Arabidopsis thaliana: one gene and its partner. The protein of the gene in region 1 purifies or fractionates together with the protein of each later gene. This does not show direct contact. Each region holds a gene or a part of one and is shown in the gene's direction. Other genes may lie near its edges.

Evidence for each region. Proteins that work in one complex are often made in the same cells at the same time.
Region 2: the proteins of HEME1 (region 1) and hemf2 fractionate together in Arabidopsis thaliana (co-fractionation; one large-scale study listed by BioGRID). This does not show direct contact.

What each region holds. Positions count from the first base shown.
Region 1 is NC_003074.8:5,018,421-5,023,659, forward strand, and holds HEME1 (Uroporphyrinogen decarboxylase), read left to right. Parts: upstream 1-2,040; 5' UTR 2,041-2,254; coding exon 2,255-2,277; intron 2,278-2,359; exon of another isoform or gene 2,360-2,363; coding exon 2,364-2,515; intron 2,516-2,813; coding exon 2,814-3,196; intron 3,197-3,279; coding exon 3,280-3,564; intron 3,565-3,659; coding exon 3,660-3,895; intron 3,896-3,979; coding exon 3,980-4,157; 3' UTR 4,158-4,726; downstream 4,727-5,239. Other genes in the region: AT3G14920 (Peptide-N4-(N-acetyl-beta-glucosaminyl)asparagine amidase A protein), read left to right, coding at 1-1,684.
Region 2 is NC_003075.7:1,410,925-1,415,335, forward strand, and holds hemf2 (Coproporphyrinogen III oxidase), read left to right. Parts: upstream 1-1,860; 5' UTR 1,861-1,889; coding exon 1,890-2,414; intron 2,415-2,502; coding exon 2,503-2,578; intron 2,579-2,657; coding exon 2,658-2,779; 3' UTR 2,780-2,835; coding exon of another isoform or gene 2,836-2,841; 3' UTR 2,842-3,600; intron 3,601-3,693; 3' UTR 3,694-3,858; downstream 3,859-4,411. Other genes in the region: AT4G03200 (catalytics), read left to right, coding at 1-12, 105-368, 450-560, 632-856, 929-1,132, 1,210-1,386, 1,457-1,642. UniProt on the Arabidopsis thaliana protein: Key enzyme in heme biosynthesis. Catalyzes the oxidative decarboxylation of propionic acid side chains of rings A and B of coproporphyrinogen III.

The sequences.
Region 1 (5,239 bases):
CGTCACAAAATCCCCTACTCGCTACTTCGAGGTTCAAAAACCTCCCGTTCCAAATCTCCCGACAGCTCAACAACCGTGTTCGTATCAAATCCTCCACCATGACTTTGGCTACACCTACGCTAAACCACCGGTTCTCTCCAATTACACACTCCCCTCTCACTGCTCCTCTCGAGAATTCTCCAAAATCGTCCTCGAATTCAAATCCACCAGCCAAGGAAGACAATTCGATCGTATCTTCGGTGTTTGGCTTGACGGCGTTGAGATTCTCCGGAGCTGCACCGCCGAGCCTAGACCAAACGGAATTGTTTGGTCTGTCGAGAAAGATGTGACCAAGTATCACTCTTTGCTCGTCAAAAACGAGACTCAGATTCTCTCTGTTTATCTTGGTAATCTTATCGATAAAACCTATACTGGTGTTTACCATGTTGATGTCATCTTCCATTTCTATCAATCCGAAAGTAATCTTCAAGATGTTTCTGGTTATAGCTCTTCTAAAGCTGATATGATCCTGCCGATTTCGAGAAATCTTCCGTTGAACGATGGATTGTGGTTTGAAATTGTGAATTCGAATGATACCAAGTATAAGGAGTTTGAGATTCCTAGGAATGTTTATAGAGCTGTGCTTGAGGTTTATGTTTCTTTTCATGAGAATGATGAGTTTTGGTATGGAAATCTTCCTAATGACTATGTTACTGCTAATAATCTTAGTGTTGCTGGTAATGGACCTTTTAGAGAAGTTGTGGTTAGTCTTGACGGTGATATTGCTGGTGCTGTTTGGCCTTTCCCTGTTGTTTTCACCGGTGGGATTAATCCTTTGCTTTGGAGACCAATTACTGCTATTGGCTCTTTTGATTTGCCGAGTTACGATATCGAGATCACGCCGTTCTTGGGAAGTTTGTTAGATGGGAAGACTCATAAGGTGGGGTTTAGTGTTACAAATGCTTTGAATGTTTGGTATATTGATGCGAATTTGCATCTTTGGTTGGATCAAGAGAAGGAGATTGTTGAAGGGAAGGTGTTGGATTTCAGTAGAAGCTCTCTGGAGATTAGCTCTGTCTCGGATTTTAAAGGCTTGAATGGAAACTTCACCACGAAAGCAAAGAGGTCGATAACTTCGGTTGGGTTGGTTAAATCTTCTCATGGGGACATTATAACTAATGCTAATCAAGAATTTAGCTACGAGAACAAGATGGTTTTAGGTAAAGATGGGAACTTGCAGATCATAGATCAATTGATCCAAGCTGATGATCGTATTCATGCCAAGAGAGCCTCCAGAGAGATCTACGCAGCGAAATCTATCAAGAGTTTTCCTTTTTACCTCGACTCTGACACTTTGGAGCAGCAGAATAACACATATCTGGCGGTAGCGAATGTCTCGATGGCATTCAACGAGGAGAGATCAGAGAGCGACAAAGGGTTGATGAGAACGTTTAAGAGCAAGCTTGAAAACAAGCAAGAAGGGCAAGGAGTAATGGTGGTGAAGAATAACTTAGTGGTCAGTGGATATGGAAGCACACAACAAGTGTATAACTATGTTGGAAGTGACCAATGTTACTTCAGAAACATCAGTAGTTACAACTACACTATTCTCTATGACAAGGTTGAATCTGTTTGCAAGAAGAAAACACTGAAGCTGCCTCCACGGCTCGAGCATTTACCAAGACAACACCCCTTACTTGCTTGATATATGACCAGAGACAGTGGAGAAAGAAAGATCACAATTAAAAATAAACAGTTCCTTAATGTTTCTTCGGTTTTTTCAACTTTTCATACATTGTCTTTCTGGTCAACAAGGATCACAGTGAACCGGTATCTGAACTGAATGTAACAGAACCGGTTAATGTCTTAATGATTTATCAACCGATCGATTTGAATCCATCTCACAGTGCAAAACAGAATCTGAATTGTGTTTGTTCTGCGCAAAACACTCTGCTGTGACAATTAACCGATCAATCTGAATTGATATCAAATTGCTCAATACCGAACCAGCGAATCGTACCGGAAATATTACCCCCAAAGGCCAAAGGAGAAGCAACAAAGAAATCCGGAAGGTGGGTCCTAGTATTATCCAGATAGATCATACGTGGCATCATTACAGCCGTCGAAGTGATTGACTTAAAAAGGTCAAACCTTGAATCTCATCTCTCTCGTCTCCCCTCGGCGATAAGGAAATATCTAACCAGACCGGCCCAAGGAGCGGGCAAAATCAGAAAGCATTTGATCTTCAAACTCTTGGGTTCTTCTCTGATTGAAAATGAGCTTATCATCGCCAACCAGGTCCGATAAAGTTCCAATTTTTGTTCTTTCGATTACTGTTATGCCAATTTTAGTACTTTGCTTTTGCTAAATTCTGTTGTAGACAGTGCTTGTAGCTCGTCCAGATGTTACTCCTCGGGATTATCGTTTCCGATTGGATTTGGATCGAATCCCATCAATGTGGGATTGGTTTGTTACCCAAAAAGATACAGTATTGCTGCTCGGAAGTTCGTAGTGGCTTGCTCCTCCTCCTCTTCCGGTACATAATGATTTATGCTTTTTGATATTGAAATGATTTTAGTCGATTCGGGTTACTAGCTGCTCATTGGAATGTCATATTTTTAATTAAGCCTGAGTTTAGATGTTGAGCATGAATGTTGCCCTTGAAATGCTCTTTTTTTCGCTTGTGAGCTTGTGGAATAGATTGAAATTTCCAGTTTTGGGTCACTTCACTTGAAATTTAGCTAATCAGGATAAATGAATCTGTAGCCTTATACTTTTGTAAGTCTAAAGAAGCTTTCTCACATTTACACATTTTGTTCAAAATGTGTAATCAGATCCACTTTTGGTTAAGGCTGCAAAAGGGCAAGCCATAAGTCGTCCTCCAGCTTGGATGATGAGGCAAGCAGGAAGGTATATGGCTGTTTACCAAAAGCTCGCCAAGAAACATCCGTCCTTCAGAGAGAGATCAGAGAACACTGATCTAATAGTGGAAATCTCTTTGCAGCCTTGGCAAGCATTCAGACCAGACGGTGTCATCATTTTCTCTGACATCCTCACCCCTTTACCTGCATTCGGTGTCCCTTTTGATATTGAAGAGGTAAAAGGTCCTGTAATCCAATCTCCTATCCGAACTGAAGAAGATATGAAGAGATTACATCCCATTGATTTCGAGAAACTACAGTTTGTTGGAGATTCTCTCAAGATTTTGAGACGAGAGGTGGTTTTCTTCTTCTTCTTAGCCTTCCCCTAGACTTGACCAAATGTCTTCCAGTTTGTGAAAATGGATTCTTGTTTTGAAAGGTTGGGGAACATGCTGCGGTGTTGGGTTTCGTTGGAGCGCCTTGGACAATTGCAACATATATTGTTGAAGGAGGAACAACTCGAACATATACAGTCATAAAGAATATGTGCCACACTGCACCAGATGTATTGAGAGCTCTATTATCTCATTTAACCAAGGCCATTACCGAGTATGTGGTTTACCAAGTTGAGCACGGAGCTCACTGCATACAAATATTCGATTCCTGGGGTGGCCAACTGACTCCGGAGATGTGGGAGCGCTGGTCCAAACCATACATTGAAGAGGTACAATTAAATGCTTTCAACTTGATTACTTGAAAGTTGAAACATTTTCTTTTCGCGTTTTAACGTTTTTTTTTTCTGCCATTTGGGCTCGCCAGATCATACATGCTGTAAAGAAAAGATGTCCAGATACGCCGATAGTTTTCTACATCAATGGAAATGGTGGCCTTCTTGAGCGAATGAAAGGAACTGGAGCTGATGTTATTGGACTTGACTGGACTGTAGATATGGCTGATGGAAGGAGGCGATTGGGAAGCGAGGTAAGTGTGCAGGGAAATGTTGATCCAGCTTACCTATTCTCTCCGCTTCCTGCTTTGACCGAAGAAATTGAAAGGTAGGTCACTTTGTTCAGCTGAATAAAAAAGTAGTGCTTATAATTCAAATTAAGAAACTGAAAGAAATGTATGTTTTGTGTCAGAGTTGTGAAGTGTGCTGGACCAAAAGGGCATATTCTCAATCTAGGACACGGTGTCTTGGTAGGGACACCAGAGGAAGCCGTGGCTCATTTCTTTGAAACCGCTAGAAACTTGGATTACCAAACACTTTTCCAAAATCATGTTCCTGCAGAAAAAGCTGAACCTGAATTGGTTGTCTGAGAAATGGTGACTAGACAAGTGCCTACGCCGAAGAATTTGCTGTTTAAGTTTTGTGAACATATGTCTGAATCTCTTAAACTTGGTGCAGGAATGAGAGAAAAAGTTCCATGTCTGACCCTTAATCGATGCTAGAGTTGGTAACTTGCTATGAGATATATGCGAAGCTGTCCAGTTTTTGTTTGGCTTGCTTGAGGATTTCCAATCTTCTGGACCAAGCTCTGCTTAACGTTTAACAATGTATTGAGTTGCTCCTAGGCTTCAAATGTTGCTGCTTCTTTTGGAGATATGACTCTGGTTAAAGTTTAACCAAACATTCATTTATCTGGTTAATCTCAAACCTTTGCTATGTTTGTTATCCCACTTTTTTCATATGGTTCTTTCTAGATCTCTGTATCTGGTGTGTCTTCTCTCGTGATCTCAACATTCGATGTGAAACCAGGTAGATTGTAATATTGTATCATAGACTGCAAAAGATAACGCAAAAGAGAAGTCTCTGATCTCAACCTGAATCAGACTTGTTAGGAGTCCCTCTTGTTTGGTTTAATTCAATTTTCCGGTTCGGATTTCTGGATTATAAACCGAATTAACTACAAACGGAAAAACGTACCGCGTTATTGCGGTAACCAGCAACTTTAATTGGCCTATAGTAGAATCAAATGAAAAGAAAAGAGCAATTTTTTTTTTTTTTTTTTGGTTTTTTGGTTAAAGAAGAAAAGAGCAAATTGGAAAAACAAATAGATAAGATAATTTATATGATTTAAAAGTCAAATGTAATCACAACATATAAATTTTAACTTATAAAATATAGTCACACCATTGCCTCATCGTATTTGCTTTCATGAATCATCCCACCACTTGTAAGCTTTATTTTATTAAGAATGAAAACGGAGAAATATAAATTGAACACTATATACTATTGTCGTCACCCTCCCCGAATGTTTCTGATAAATAATGTTAACTATCATCTAATACGTCAACCGGATTATCACCGACACTGACCCCACACCTAACCACTGATGCACAAGTTTATATTAGTGTAGGTATCATCCACAATATATTATCCAATAATTGAACCTTGTTAA
Region 2 (4,411 bases), on another chromosome or scaffold:
ACAAGCGATGAGGTTCTTTTCTCTGATATATGATATATTCATGAGCTGACTCTGGTTTCCCTCTGCATACTGACATTTGTTTTGCGTGTGTGTTTGGTTTCAAGATTGATGAAGTCCTCGGGGAGAATGCTGATCTTTTCAAGGAGCATTATTATGTTAAGAAATCAGGTAACTGCGATCTTTCGAGCAGGAGTGACCCGCACAATGAATTTGCTGGGAAGAACGTGCTGATCGAAAGAAATGAGACGTCTGCTATGGCATCAAAGTTTAGCCTCTCTGTTGAGAAGTATCAGGAGATATTAGGTGAATGCCGAAGAAAGCTTTTCGATGTCAGATTGAAGCGACCTAAGCCGCATCTAGATGATAAGGTAATACTCTTCTTGGAATTCTCATGTTGTCTTCTCTACTGTTTCTTCAGATTTGTTAACCATTTAAGATTTCTTTCATAGATAATCGTGTCTTGGAACGGTCTTGTTATCTCGTCTTTCGCAAGAGCTTCCAAGATTCTTAAGGCTGAGCCTGAAAGCACCAAATATTATTTCCCTGTGGTGAATAGTCAGGTAATGAATGCTACACCCTTTCCTTTAATTTCTTCTTTGACCGTTTTGTAATTAGAAGACTCATTTTTCAGCCAGAGGATTACATAGAGGTTGCAGAGAAAGCAGCTTTGTTTATCAGAGGAAATCTCTATGATGAGCAGTCTCGCAGATTACAACACAGTTACAGACAGGGGCCATCCAAAGCTCCTGCCTTCTTAGACGATTATGCTTTCTTGATCTCTGGTTTACTCGATCTTTACGAGAATGGAGGTGGGATCGAATGGCTTAAGTGGGCGATTAAACTTCAAGAAACACAGGCAAGTGAGATCTTTACTAGCTCGATTTGTTAAAGTTCTTGATTTTGGCTAAAAAAGTTAAAAACATTTTAGGATGAGTTATATCTGGACCGAGAAGGAGGAGCATACTTCAATACTGAAGGACAAGACCCATCGGTTCTTCTTCGTGTAAAAGAAGATCATGATGGTGCAGAACCTTCAGGGAACTCTGTTTCTGCTATCAATCTTGTGAGGTTAGCTTCCATAGTCGCCGGAGAAAAAGCTGAATCCTACCTCAACACGGCACATCGTCTCCTGGTAAACAAACAAACAACTAATCCCATTTGCTATTCATAGAAAGAGATTATTGAGTCTCTTTGTTGTTGTTTTTGCAGGCAGTCTTTGAGTTGAGGTTAAGAGAACTGGCGGTGGCTGTGCCATTAATGTGCTGCTCCGCAGATATGATCTCTGTTCCGTCGAGGAAACAAGTTGTATTGGTTGGTTCTAAGTCTTCCCCAGAGCTTACCAACATGCTTTCTGCAGCACATTCAGTCTATGATCCTAATAAAACGGTAAGAGCTTAAAAAATTATCCAAATTTCTAGATTCAAGATTTGTGACTTTTGGTGGTTTTACTGAGCAGGTGATTCACATAGATCCCTCTAGTTCTGATGAAATCGAGTTTTGGGAAGAGCATAACAGTAATGTAGCTGAGATGGCTAAGAAGAACAGAAACTCAGAGAAAGTGGTGGCTCTTGTTTGTCAACACTTCACTTGCAGTCCTCCTGTCTTTGACTCTTCTTCTCTCACTCGCTTGCTTTCCAAGTAAACAAAGATCATTCCATGTTTAATAGTTGCTTGTACTGTAAGGAACAGATCAACGTTGTTCTCTCTGTTACAGTCTTACAGAGTAGATAAATAAAGAAGAGAACTAAACCGAGTATGAGGTTTTTTGGTTGAACTAAACCGGAAATAACCGGGTTTGGTTTGGTTAAAAAAACAGAGCTTTGACGATTCCTTATCATCTTCTATCTTCAGCAAAAAGGTGAAAACTTGGATTCGATCGATCGCTGAAAATGGCGTCTCACTCTTCGACTCTCTTCACTTCTCCTTCTTCCTTCATTCTCTTCTCTTCTCATCGTCTCAAATCTTCTCCGAATTACTTCACTTACCACTTTCCTCGTTCCGTAAAGAGACCACATTTCGACTTGCGATGCTCAGTCTCAATCGAGAAAGAAGTTCCGGAAACAGAAAGACCTTTCACTTTCCTCAGAGTCTCCGACGGCGATCAAACTCAATCTTCTTCTTATTCGGTTAGGGCTCGTTTCGAGAAAATGATAAGAACTGCTCAAGATAAAGTCTGTGAAGCCATTGAAGCAGTCGAAGAAGGTCCTAAATTCAAGGAAGATGTTTGGTCTCGACCCGGTGGAGGTGGTGGAATCAGTCGTATTTTGCAAGACGGAAATGTATGGGAGAAAGCTGGAGTTAATGTCTCTGTGATTTATGGTGTTATGCCTCCTGAAGCTTATAGAGCTGCTAAAGCTGCCACGTCTGAGCAAAAACCTGGTCCGATTCCGTTCTTTGCCGCTGGAACCAGCTCGGTGAGTTCTCTCTCTCTCTCTCTATCAGTCGACATTGCTGTTGATATGGTCTCTGAGTTCTTTGATTGAGCTTGATCCTACATTCTAGGTTTTGCATCCTCAGAACCCTTTTGCTCCGACTCTGCATTTCAATTACCGCTATTTCGAGACCGATGCTCCAAAGGGTAAGACCTTAATCCTCTTTGAGAAGTGTAAAGTTCCAATTTTTTGGTTGGATGAAGCATTTGATTTCATCACTTGTAGATGTTCCTGGAGCTCCGAGGCAATGGTGGTTCGGTGGTGGGACTGACTTCACACCTGCTTACATCTTTGAAGAAGACGTCAAGCACTTTCATTCGGTCGTTAAACCTGATCCATTGTTCTGAAAGTTTGAAGCTTTGTGATTATGGAGATGCTGATTGAAATATCTTTCTTTGTGTAGGTTTAAAAGCAAGCCTGCGATAAATTTGATCCGTCGTTCTACCCTTGGTTTAAGAAATGGTGTGATGACTACTTTTACATTAAGGTCTGCAGTTCCTTTAACGCTATTCTGATTGTTTGGTGAGATCTTAGCACTTTGTGGAACTAAAAGACCTTAGTTTTAGAGTCATGTATGTGCAAGAATAGATTTAGAGCCTCAAGGTTTTGTTTAGGTTGATACAGTGATAAGTTGTCGCCTAGGATTTGAAAACACTAAAAACTTTACGGTCTTGCCTGCAGCACCGTGATGAGAGGCGAGGGCTTGGAGGGATATTTTTTGATGATTTGAATGACTATGATCAAGAGATGCTTCTGTCATTCGCCACTGGTAGTGACCAAGATATAACTTGTGACATTTTGTTTTAAGAAACTTCCTAGTTGACTTATTTGAATACTGAGATGAATTTTGCAGAATGTGCAAGCTCAGTGATACCAGCTTCTATACCCATAGTAGAGAAACGTAAAGACACACCATTTAACGAGCAACACAAGGCATGGCAACAGCTGCGAAGGGGCAGATATGTTGAATTCAACTTCGTAATTGGATACTACTAGCTTTGTTTTTCTTTCTGTATAAATATCTCTTGAAACCTCGTCTCATGTTTTGTTGCTGATGGTAAAAATAAAGGTGTATGACCGCGGAACAACATTTGGTCTGAAGACTGGAGGACGAATAGAGAGTATCCTTGTCTCTCTTCCGCTATCTGCGAGATGAGAATATGACCATGTAAAGTTTCTTGATTCAAGAAACTAAATCTTGTTTCATCTTAGCTAATGAAACTTAACTACTGATGGTGTTTGTCTCTTGTTGCGGATGCAGAAACCTGAAGAAGGAACTGAGGAATGGAAACTATTAGATGCTTGTATCAATCCAAAAGAGTGGCTTTAGTTAATTAATTGTGGTTATTTCCCCAATTAGCTCTTTTATTAGTTTTGTCTTTAAAAGCCTTAAAAGAGTAAAGAGTCTAATGAAAAGTGAGTGAGATAAAGAAATTGTAATTTGGCGTCATCTCATCATGAGTCACTGACAAACAAAGATCATGATGGTTGATGATGGAGTATATAGTACCAATCGTGATGATGATGATAAAAGTAATTAACTTTTAATTTTTTTTACTGACACAGTAAAAATAAGAGCCGTTGGCTCAAATAGCCGAGCCTCTCGGTGCACGCACGCATGCCACTTGCTCGGTAACTGTTCACTAGACAGAACACAACAACACTCAAATAGAGTGATAACATTGAATCTGATGATTTGGTTTAGTATAAAAATCGTTTCCAAGTTTCAACGAGTGGGACTTGTGTTAGGTTAAACAATTTCGGATTAAGTAAACGTCACTGTCTCATTTGTCTTGATACAAGAAACGCCCGTGATATTTTTTCTTCGATGTCGTCCAATGGGGACAAAGAAACAATTTAGTCCCCGGATATACACACACACACACAAATAATACATGGGTGTTGTTATTATGGCTTACCTTACACAACACAACTTGCCAATGTTTTTAAATTTACTAAAAACCAAAGCCAGAAGATAT